Linked DNA regions of Ovis aries. The protein of the gene in region 1 purifies or fractionates together with the protein of each later gene. This does not show direct contact. Links are inferred from orthologs where the notes say so. Each region holds a gene or a part of one and is shown in the gene's direction. Other genes may lie near its edges. The genes, in order: NRBP1, TSC22D2 and TSC22D1.

Region 1 (4,341 bases):
GTTTTAACCCCTGGTCTGGCAGAGAAGTCTCCTTGGGCATTTTAAATATGAATGAAAATGGACTTTCCTGGAAATCCAGTGGTTAAGACTTCAACTTCCACTGTAAGGGCAGTGGGGAATGCAGCTGGGCAAAAAACAACAAAAAAACCATGAATGAAAGGTTAAAAACAAATAAGAGCTTGAGGATGCCTAGGTCCTTTATGCAGATTTGAAAGGAGCTAGTTGAAAGGTAAAGGTCAATGATACTAAGACCCAGACAGGAGATAATGGGAAACTGCAATAGTAGTATCAACTGATATTTAATGTTTACTGTGGGGCAGGTATTCAGTGCTTTGGAATATACGAAGTTAAGAGATTAATCTGGATAGGAGGAGGAACATTCTTTCTTTGAGATGACAACAAAGATTCTTAACCTCAGCTCCCTGAAATTATATGCTAAATATCCAAAACAAGGTCCAGATTTCTAAGCGTGTTGGAGCCCTCTCTTTCAAAGATGAAAGCATCAAGGAACAAAGAGTGATTTTAAAAATTTTGAGGTGAAGAGATGGAAAATGAGAAGACTTTTGCCAGTCTTATCAGTTAAACAGGACAACAGATGTCCTTTAGTGAAATTTGGTGATTATGACATTCCCAAGTACTGATTGATTCACCCTTCTCCCTCCACAATACGTGTCTTAAGAGCCGAGTCCACTTCTTTCCTTTGGACTCTCTTCGATCTAAATTTTTTCCAAACATCTTTTCAAGGAAATCTGTGATAAGCCTTACTGTTTCGGATCCTAATTTAGTTCTTACCAACTTTCGGTGAATAGCTTAATGCCTCTGATTCAGTATTTTTCCATTTGACAACTACTGCTCAAAGAAAATTTCAATTTCTTATGAGGATCAAAAGAGAGAACATCTGTGAAAACCTCTTGCGAAGTTTTGGCCAACGTCATTACTATCCACTTACGAAGCGTTAACTATTAATTTTCAGTTTTAATGTACACAGTAATTCAAAGAAAGTTTTCTGAATAGGTGTCCTGCACAGTCTCACCCCCAAATACTGAAAGCGGGTGGGCTCTCCTCTCGGATTGTGGCTGCGTCTTTCGCTCCTTTTGTCTTTCAGTCGTACTAGAACTGTCATGGCGCCTTCAAGAAAAGGGGCAAGGCCTTCCTTTCGCCCAGCAGAATCGTCCGGGGCACCAGGACCGGACCGAGGGGTAGACAGAGAGACGAGCCTCACTGAGACCGAAAACACCGAACCCGCCGAGAGATCTCAGCCGGACAGGCGCAGCGGGAGGAGACCGGGTTGAAGGCTACCTCTACCAGCCACAGTACACCCGGGGCACCGCCCACCCTGGCCGCCCTGTCCAATGGAAACCCAACGGCAGTGCGGCACCGCCCACTGTTGGTCAGGACGCCACGAGGGCGGGGCCCGCAGTTCGGTTGCGCCGCGGAGCGCAGCTGTGAGCGAGTCTTTCTGATCCGGGGCCCCGGAACCCGAGCTGGAACTGAAGCGCAGGCTGCGGGGAGCGGAGTCAGGAGGTGAGCGCCTAGGGGAGGGAAGGTTTCAGCGAGAGGACCGAAGGATCGGCCTCTAGGGCCCGGATCTGGGACCCTAGCAGGCGAGTGTCTGGAGGCGGCCCTGCTCACTCGGTGGCCAAGGCCCGGCCCGCCGGAGCCGGGGGGCCGCCTCGGCCCCACATTTCCTGCCCGGCCCTCCCCGACTGCCCCCGAGTGGCGGCAGGGGGCCCCGGAATTCTGCGGGCGCGGGGCGCGAGGCCCCGGCGTTCGTGTAGAACTCGGCCTGACGAGAGGCGGGGCCGGCGGCGGGGGCGGGGGCGGGGGCGGCGGCCGCAGGCCCGGAGGCCTGCGGAAGCGCAGCGTCGGGGCCGCGCCTGCTCGCGGGGCCGGCGCGCCGACTGCGCGGGGGCGTGGCCTGCGCCCCTGACGGCGCCGCGGGGCCGGCCTCTGGTGAGGTGGCCGCTGCTGGCTACAGGGCCTGCTTGGGGGCCCGACGCTCCCTCGCAGTCAGCGGGCTAGGCGACCTGTTGGAGTGTTAAATTCCTCCTCGAGTTTATATCTGTCTGACTGGTCAGTCCTGCAGGTCTCAGGTCCTCTTCGGTCCCCTCAGGATGAGAGCGGGCGAGAGGCCTGTGGCCTGCGAGGTGTTGCTGAGGAGTTGAGATGCTAAGAAGCTGCAGTCCAAAAAATGAAAAACTTCGCAGGAAAAAACTTTGCAGTGTTTTACCTGCACGGCTCAGAAGTGAACACTGTGCATCTTGGGGTGGCTGGAGGCGGCGAGGAGATTCCCTTTTTCCGTCTGTGGTCTTATTTAAATTTCTGAACGACTGACCCTGAGACAAAAACTCCCAGTGTTGCAAAGGTTTCTTCATCAGCAGGAGGGGTCCTGGGGATTCTTGGGCATTGCCATCATCTTGCCTACTGGGGAGAGATTGGGGAGGGAGAAGACAAGCACATTCGAAGAGCGTCTATGACTGATGAAGGTCTGGCATCTCGTGCCATACTGTGGATTAACTGTCTGTGCCCTGGGTCCAGAAGTTTCTTTAGAGCCCACTGGCCACAGGCTTCCTGTATTACAGTTCCACTGATATTTCTTATTATGTAGCTGGTTCTTTCCGTAGCTGTTCAGATTCAGGATACATTCTATAAATAGTTACTCTAGAAAGTAATCCCTGTGAGCTTTTAGCTACTTTTCATGGGGAGAAGAAAAATGATCTGTAACTTAAATTTACTGATAGATTACTAAAACTTGTTGATTGAAATCCATGATAGGCAAAGATTGAGGAAAAAACAGGTGAAAAAAAGCATCTTGCCAGATTTTCTCTGTAGTGCTTTGTTGCTCTTTGATATTTACTGGAATGTCATCTAATAAAAATCTCCTCCAAAATGAAAAAAAAAAATTTTTTTTAAAGACCAAGGAAATCTCCTGACTTGAGTTAAACATAGTGCAGGTTGGTGGCAGAGATGGGCAGAGGAGGGCATCTGAGTTCTAAAAAGAAATGAGAGCTTTTCAAAAGATCCTGATCAGAAGCTTCTGTATTTTGAACTGACTTAGAGGAGCAAATCTACAAGATACTTTCATCCTGGGGAGCATCCCCTTTAGCCCAGCACACACAGGTTCCAACTTCTTCACGGCCTTCATTCTTAGAGATGTGGAATAACATTCAGCAGTTTTCCTATGACTCTGAAATTTGTGACATTTCGCTTTTGAGAATTCTTTTTTTCCAAGAAGCCATATCCATGTATAATACTATACACTATTTAGTGTAATATAGTACTTTTCCTGTAATGGCTTTGTCTTGAATTATTTGTGCTTAAAAGGGATACCTGTGTCAGATCCAGTGCCTCAGAGGATGGAGCCTTTGAGCCATGTGAATGAAATGAAAACTGGAAGATTAAAATCTTAGCTGTGCCTTAAATTTAGGCTTTATGAGTGTTGGCATCTTATTTATATTGTTCACTGTGGTATCTCGAGCACCTAGCTCAGTGCTTGGCCCACAATAGGTGCTTAATAAACACTTGTTGAATGAGTGAATGGAAAAAAAATGTTGCTAACCAGTACCCACCCATTTGCCACACTCACATCACAGGGCAGGTGAGGTCATCAGGAATGAAGTCACTAACCACTACCGGTTACCTGGCCCAAGGGTAGCCTCATCATGGACTGGCAGACTTATTCTGTGCATAGGAGGGATGGAGAGTGGATGCCAGGGTTAGTGCAAGTGGAATAAATCAGCTTAGGGTTTCAGTTGGACAAATTGGTTGAGAATACTACAGCTCTAACTCTCGAGCTGGTTCATTGGAACATTTGGGGATCTGGAGTCATCTGCCCTGCATAGTGCCCGTGTAGCTTGGTTCTTGAGCATAATGCAGATGAGGTAGATGAGAATTCAAAGGGAAGGCTATTGGGTAGGTATTTGCTGAGAAAGAATGAGGCCCCTGATTTTGCTGTTCCATTTGGACCTTACTAAACATGAGTTGCACAACCATAAATCTTTTGTTTGCCAGTCTTGGGTGAATCATCTTTTTACATGATAGAATATATTTATTAACATGTTTATGCATAGCAGCATATTCTTTAAGCTTGATGTGTACTTCAGTTGGTCACTGACCTGGGTGAGTCATCTTCAGCTGAGATAGCTCCCCTTCTCCAGACTAGGAGAGCAGTTAATGTTTAGGGTTCATACAGGACTAATTCTGATTTTGGACTTAAAGGAAACAAGGGAGCTGTATGTTTTATTTACTTTTAAACCCCAGATTAGGTTATTAGGATGGAATCTTTATAGAATCTATTCTAACCCTCTCCACCTTCTCCCTTCACCCTTGCTCCAACCAATA
Region 2 (4,385 bases), on another chromosome or scaffold:
CAAAAGCTGCACACATAATATCACCCATTGATCTTCACTTTTAACAATCTAGAAAATCAATCCAAAATGAAGTTTTTATAAACTCATATTTGATGTAACCAGTTGATCTAACTTATTGATGGAAAACTGTCTAACAATTACTGAAATTACAGATTTAGTAATGAAACATTCCATTAGCTATTTTTGCCACAATAGCAACATTATGTTACCCCTTGGTTCCTTTACTCTCTCCCACCCCCTTAAGAAGCAGGAATTTTATTATGTTGTCTTATTTCACATCCTGACCTCAGTCATTTGGTTTGAAATACACAATGTCTCCTAAAGTTTAATGACATAGACATATCCTTGTATATTATTTTCAACTAATGACCTAAACAGTTCTCTGAAATTTTAAATTATCAAAAGATCCTTTGGAATAAAAAATATTTCTATTATTCAAAGATTAGAGAACTGAATACAATAATTACCTTGATTTATGTCAGTCATGATATGATTGCTAAAGCTGTAATAGATATTAAACTTTGAATTCCATCAAGACACTTTAGATTTTACCTAAACAATGTGTCAAAGAGCCAGCTTCCTTTTTTTTTTTTCCAACTATTTAAAAGAATGACGTTACCATTTTCTTTTGCCAGAGAGTAACTAAATGATGGTAAATTCTCCAGTACTTGCATAGCTGCTTTCTGGACAGGAAAGAGTGCTTTCTAACTTGCTCAGATTGTTCACGGCCCAATCCAAACCATCTAACACTCTGGCTCTAACTAAGAGTTTCAGAATAAACAAAAGAAAGAACTACAACTATTTAACGCAGTAGGTTCTACATTTATGGAGCCCATAAGCTGATTTCATGCTGAAAGTAAAAACAGTCTCAAGATGTTTAAACGAACTCTTCGATGCTGGAATCACAACAAACTCAAGAAAATTAGGAATATGTTGGTAACCTCTAATCTTTTTTTAAACTGACCTCATCCTGGGCAAGTAACCATCTCCTGATGCCATTGTTGGACACTAAAATTTCTGGCTGAAAGATCCTTTTTCTGACTCAATCTGGCTTGCTATTCTTGGTTAATCCTCCCCGTTTCTCTCAACATTTCACTCTTCTGACTATAGTGGATAACATTCATTTGCAGGAAAGGCTTTTTATAAGTGATTCGGTTCCTCCAGCCGTCTCCCTCTTTATCCTAGCTAAATCCCCCAACCTCCATTCCTATCGCCTTCTTTCACTAAGATTTTGCTAAACATTAGACACAGCAAGCACATGACCTCCAGTTTCCAATGTCTCCGAATAAACCGATATAAAAACCTTCAATTGGCGCGGCTGTAAGTTTTCCTAGAGTTGGAATTTAAGAGTCTTTAGTTCTTCAACTCTTAAAGACCTACAGGGCAAATTTAAATTTAAAAAAATTTTTTAAATTAAAAAAAAAAAAAACCGCTCCCCGTTTTTAACCTTTAGCCCCGCCCACTACCCCCCAGCCTCCACGCGAAACTCTGCAGGAAACCGGAGGGGGCGGGGTGGTGACGTCACGACGCCGGTGCGTCACGGAACGGCGGCGGCTGCGGCGCTGGCGGTGGCTGCGGCAGCGGCGGCATTTTAGTCGGCAGCGGCGGCGGCAGCGGGGCTGCTGCTCCTCCCAGCATCCCTGGCGCGGCCATTTCAGCCCCATCTTGGCCGAGGGGAGGGAGCTGCAGCCGCCGCTTCAGCAGTTTGAATTTCAGTTTCTACAGGGCCTGCGAACCGGGCGCATCGAGGAAGAGTCGAAGAAGCTACCGCAGCTACCTCACACAGCCGGCGCGCCGTCGCTTGCCGGCCTGCCGGCCGCCGCCCCTCACTCTCTCAGGAGCCGCGAGGGGAAGGCCGAGACCGCCGCCACCGCCCGCTCGCGGGGGTGGCTCCCCCTGTATAGGGGAGGACCGAGCCGGCTTTCCCCTCCCCCGGAGCAGGTTTCCGCCTGAGACAGTCGACATGTCCCTGGGACTGAGCTCCGGCTAGAGCCGGGGAGGGAGGGCCGCCCGCCCGCGCCGAAGCTCCGCCACCCGCCCGCGGCTCCTGGCTGAATCAGGAATCCCTGGCTCCGGACTCGCCACTCCTACTCCTGCTTCCCTCGGCGTCCGAGAGCCCGGAGCTGACGCCGGCACTGGTTCGAAGAGCCGGAGCGGGGCAGCACCGCCCCTCACGCCGCCGCCGCCTCCCCTTCGCCCTCCCACTCCCACCCCCAGCCTAGGCCTGTTGACCGCGCGGAGCTGGATTGACCACGGCGGCCCGAAGACGCGAGGAGGAAGCAGCCGACCCGCCCCTGGGATAGTGGTCTCGCCGCCACTGGGGGGATTGAATTGAGGCGCCGCGACTGCGGGAGGCGAGAAGGAAGGAGGAGCCGCCGCACGAGTGAGACGGGGGCAGAGCGGTAGACACCGACTCGGATAAGGAAACGGGAGGAGGATGTCTCACGGAGCGACCGGCGCCCGGATCAGCCCGTGACTCTTACAGCGGCGGGCCTCAGACCCCAGCACGGACACGGACTTTGTCTTTGGGGGCCAGTGTTCTGCCCTTCCTGGTTTCCGGCAAGATCGCGGAGGAGCCGGGTGCTTCTGCCCTTCCAGCCTTCCTCACCATGTCCAAGATGCCGGCCAAGAAGAAGAGCTGCTTCCAGATCACCAGTGTCACCACGGCCCAGGTGGCTACTAGCATCACCGAGGACACCGAGAGCCTGGACGACCCGGATGAGTCACGCACGGAGGACGTTTCTTCCGAGATATTCGACGTTTCTCGGGCCACGGATTACGGCCCCGAGGAGGTCTGCGAGCGCAGCTCCTCCGAAGAGACACTCAACAATGTTGGGGATGCCGAGACTCCCGGAACCGTCTCCCCCAACCTTCTCCTGGACGGACAGCTGGCGGCCGCGACAGCCGCTCCGGCCAACGGAGGAGGAGCCGTTTCGGCCCGGAGCGTGGCCGGGGTGCTGACCAGCACCCTGTCGCCGGCCGCCCCCTCAGCCCCCTCCTCGGGGGCCCCCGGCGCCCCCCCGGTCACAGGCCCGTCCGCCACGCCGGGAACTGCCGCCTCATCACAGCCCCCCACCGCTTGTAGTTCGCGTTTTCGCGTGATCAAGCTGGACCACGGCAGCGGGGAGCCTTATAGACGCGGCCGATGGACGTGTATGGAATACTATGAGCGGGATTCCGATAGCAGCGTCCTGACCCGGTCCGGGGATTGCATTAGGCACAGCAATACTTTTGACCAGACTGCGGAGCGGGACAGCGGCCTGGGCGCCACCGGAGGGTCGGTGGTGGTGGTGGTGGCCTCCATGCCAGGCGCGCACGGGCCCGACTCGGGAACTGACAGCTCCTTGACTGCTGTGTCACAGCTACCCCAGTCGGAGAAAATGAGCCAACCCGCCCCGGCCCCGCCGCAGAGTTTTGGCGTTGGGCAGCCGCAGCCGCCGCCGCCGCCGCCTCCGCCCGTAGGTGGGGCTGTGGCTCCAAGCTCGGCTTCGTTGCCGCTGTTCCCGGGAGCCGCGGCCGCGCCGCCGCAGAGGTTGGCAGCCCCGCCGCCCAGCCAGGCCCAGGGCGCCGGGCCCCCGGGGCCCAACGGACAGGGCCTGCCACTGACGAATGTAACCCTGGCGCAGCCCGGCCTGGCCGTGGGCGCTGCCACCGCGCCCCCGCCCCAGCAGTTCGCGTATTCTCAGCCTCAGATGCCGCCGGGCCATCTGCTGCCCGTCCCGCCCGCCGGCCAGAGTGAGTACCTGCAGCCGCACGTGGCCGGCCTGCAGCCGCCCAGCCCGGCGCAGCCCTCTTCCACGGGCGCGGCAGCGGGTCTGGCCGCGGCCGCCGGTCTCCCCGCGGGCACCGGCCAGAACGCCGCCTCCACTGGCGCGCAGATGATGGGTGCGCCCTCCTTGCCCGGAGAAGCGGTGGCCCCTGGGCCGGGCCCCGCGCCCGGAGGACCGGCCGCGCAGGGTCAGCCGGCCGGAGTGCCCCCGGCTACTGTGGGAGGCACGGCGCCATCGGGCCTGGTTCCCGCCGGGGTCGGGCAGCCGCAGGCCGCGCCTCTGCCGCAGATGGGTGGCAGCGGCGCGCCGTCGGTCGTGCCCGGCGGCCCTCTTGCCGTGGTGCCCGGAGTTGCCAACGTGCCTGCAGCCGCGCCCGCTCCCAGCGTGCCTAGTGTGTCGACGACTTCTGTTACTATGCCAAATGTTCCCGCGCCCCTGGGCCAGGCGCCGCAGCTTTGCAGCCAGCCTCCGGTCAGCAGGAGCGGCAGCAGCATCCAGCACGTGGGGCTGCCCTTAGCGCCTGGCACAGCCAGTGCCCCGACGAGTCTACCGCAGTCTGACCTGAGCCAGTTTCAGACTCAGACCCAGCCTTTAGTCGGGCAAGTTGACGATACT
Region 3 (2,812 bases), on another chromosome or scaffold:
TTGCTGGGGAATTGCTGGGAAAGCGCTGGCCCAGCGTGTCCTTTGGTCTCGGGCACATCGCTAGTGATGTGGCTTTCCTAGGGATCCTAAGGTTTACCGCGGAGCCGGGAGCGGGGAGGGCCCCAGAAGTGGGGGGTCTCGGGAAGGAGCCTCCTCCACAGGGCCAAACGGATCCCCAGTGGTGGAGGCTCCTGCACAATGAAGAAGAGCCGGAGAAAAGTTTCGCCGTCTCAGCCTGCGCCTGGATTTCTCCCATTTTTTATTTCCGCCTTGGCCGTTCTTTGTTATTGGAGCAGCGCCTGTGGCTCTTCTCACGGGATTCTCTGCCCACTGTTGCTAGGCAAACTCCGAACCTTTAATTCGGAGCTATAAATAACTCGAGCGCCCATTGGCTGCGACGGCTGCCCAGGTTTCTGTGATGTCAGCTTAATCACGAAAAGGGGGGGTGGGGGGAGGAAAATGCGGCAACACGCTCTGTAGGAACTGGCTGCAGCCGGTGCTGAGGGAGGCGGTCCAGCGGGCGGAGGGAGGGGCTTGGGGGCGGGGTCGTGGCTCCCGTTGCTCGGGGCTGGACATCCCTGGGCCCGGCTTCTTTCTGCACCGAGCTGGAGCCCGGCTGCGTTTTGCCATCTCGAATAGGAAACCTGAGCGTAGGCACTCCTGGCCAACAGCTGCAAGGAAAGCAAAACCTTGATCACTTATACGTTAAACTGAAGTATTGTACAGTTAGGGTGGTATTCCGTCTTTTTCCCCTGGAGCCTGTTAAATGAATCTCTAAAGGCAGGATATGTCAGTGGTTAGGGAGAGACTTGCAAAATGTTTTAACAATTTAGAGTCCGGGAAACAGTCAATAGAACGTTAAACCTTTCTCCCCCACCCCGCTTCCTTCTCTCCCTTTCAGGATCTGGTGAAAAGCCATTTGATGTATGCAGTTAGAGAGGAAGTGGAGGTCCTCAAGGAACAGATCAAGGAACTCATAGAGAAAAATTCCCAGCTGGAGCAGGAGAACAATCTGCTGAAGACACTGGCCAGTCCCGAGCAGCTTGCCCAGTTCCAGGCCCAGCTGCAGACTGGCTCGCCCCCTGCCACCACACAGCCACAGGGGACCACACAGCCCCCGGCCCAGCCAGCATCCCAGGGCTCAGGACCAACTGCGTAGCCATCCCGGCCCCCGAAGAACTGGCTGCTGTGGTCTGAACTGAACAGACCTGAGAAGATGTACTAGGGGAGGGGTCCGCCCCCACCGTCACCCATTTCATTGCTCGCTGCAAAAGAGACGTGAGACTGACATATGCCATTTTCTCTTTTTTCCAGTATTAAACACTCATATGCTTTCGGCTTGAAGAAATTGCTTAGTTGGGTGAGTTAAAGGTTAATCAGAGAATTAGCATGGATATACTGGGACCTCATGCAGCTTGGCAGAACCGTGAGAAGTGGTTTCATTCATTCTGAGGAGCTGTTGTGCCTTTCCACTCCCCGCCCCTGCTCCCCACTCCCCCCCACCTCCAAGAGTTCTTCCTGCTTGCACAGTAGTGTACTCCATGGGGTTCCAAAGCAGAGGAGCTTGCCGCTGGACTTTCCTCTCCTCCCCCGAGAGGAACTGGAAAGGGGGGTGAAGGTCAAGAGTGAAGCTTAGTCTCACCTAAGATGAGGGGAAAACATAGTTCATTGTACAAACGACGACTGTCACCAGACTCCATTAAAAAAAAAAATCGTACTGTGCCTCTTTCCGAAACAGTGACACAAAACTATTAGCGTGACTAAATGGTGACAGGTAGCTGGGACCTAAGCTCTCTTACCATGAAGGTTGTTTTGCTTATTGTATATTTGTGTATGTAGTGTAACTATTTTGTACAATAGAGGACTGTAACTACTATTTAGGTTGTACAGATTGCAATTTAGATGTTTCATTGGCTGTCTGAAGAGGTGTGGATTGTCTTTTATATAGCGATCTCCGTGAAAAACCCATGAAGCAAAACACACCTCCCTAAAGAGATTTTAAGAATTTGGCACAGTTAGTCACTTTGTGTAATCTGCAATCTTCTAGCTGCTGAGTATCTTGAAGTCGCTCCCTGTTCACTGAAATCCTTGATTGAACTGGTTGAATACTTTGAAAAATGCAGAGTTCTAGCTAATGGATTTCCCAGTAGGGGTTTCTGCATATTACCTGTATAGTAGTTACCTGCATATGTTTCTGTGCATGTTCTCTACACAGTTGTAAGGTGTCACTGTATTTAACTGTTGCACTTGTCAACTTTCAATAAAGCATACAAAATGTTGATAAACAAGTGTTTCTACGTTACAGTGTTAATGTAATGGTAGTCATTTCCACAACTCTTTCCAGGCCAAGTTAAAACAATTTGGTGAAATTCTGAAGGGGGGTGAAAGGGTTGGGCAAAGTAGTGATGCTCATGGTTTGACTGGAGAAACATAAGGAATCTGACATTGAGTTCTTTCAGGGAGTAAGGGAAGAGACAAGGAGGCAAGAGCTTGGTCCTTGAGACTGGTTGTGTGACCTGGACAAGCCGCGTTCCCCATTCACAGCTGATGCGAGGGAGCTGAGAGAAATCTCTTGAATGCCTCTGTGGCTTTAAAACTCTGGGAGTCCGTGGAAGTCTTAATCTTCTAGTGTTTACCGGCTGAGGGGAATGAACCTTACTCCATGTATAATCCCAACAAGCAGCTCTAGGATCAGAAGTTGGGGCTTAGAGAGAGAATCTGATTTCCGCTTCAAGAACTCTGAGAATGGATGCCTTTCCTAGTGTGGATTGAGTTCCCAGCTCCTAGGGATGCCCAAACAAAAGATAGGATA

Evidence for each region.
Region 2: the proteins of NRBP1 (region 1) and TSC22D2 purify together in Homo sapiens (affinity purification with mass spectrometry; 5 studies listed by BioGRID and IntAct, with this or other methods). This does not show direct contact. The link is inferred for Ovis aries from reciprocal best matches to the Homo sapiens genes NRBP1 and TSC22D2.
Region 3: the proteins of NRBP1 (region 1) and TSC22D1 purify together in Homo sapiens (affinity purification with mass spectrometry; 6 studies listed by BioGRID and IntAct, with this or other methods). This does not show direct contact. The link is inferred for Ovis aries from reciprocal best matches to the Homo sapiens genes NRBP1 and TSC22D1.

Annotation. Positions count from the first base shown.
Region 1 is NC_056056.1:34,470,941-34,475,281, forward strand, and holds the start of NRBP1 (nuclear receptor-binding protein), read left to right. Parts: upstream 1-1,423; 5' UTR 1,424-1,524; intron 1,525-4,341. UniProt on the Homo sapiens protein: Required for embryonic development. Plays a role in intestinal epithelial cell fate and proliferation, thereby involved in the architectural development of the intestine potentially via the regulation of Wnt-responsive genes.
Region 2 is NC_056054.1:238,433,627-238,438,011, reverse strand, and holds the start of TSC22D2 (TSC22 domain family protein 2), read left to right. Parts: upstream 1-1,523; 5' UTR 1,524-2,609; coding exon 2,610-4,385. UniProt on the Homo sapiens protein: Reduces the level of nuclear PKM isoform M2 which results in repression of cyclin CCND1 transcription and reduced cell growth.
Region 3 is NC_056063.1:15,072,836-15,075,647, reverse strand, and holds the end of TSC22D1 (TSC22 domain family protein 1), read left to right. Parts: intron 1-901; coding exon 902-1,159; 3' UTR 1,160-2,288; downstream 2,289-2,812. UniProt on the Homo sapiens protein: Transcriptional repressor. Acts on the C-type natriuretic peptide (CNP) promoter. Acts to promote CASP3-mediated apoptosis.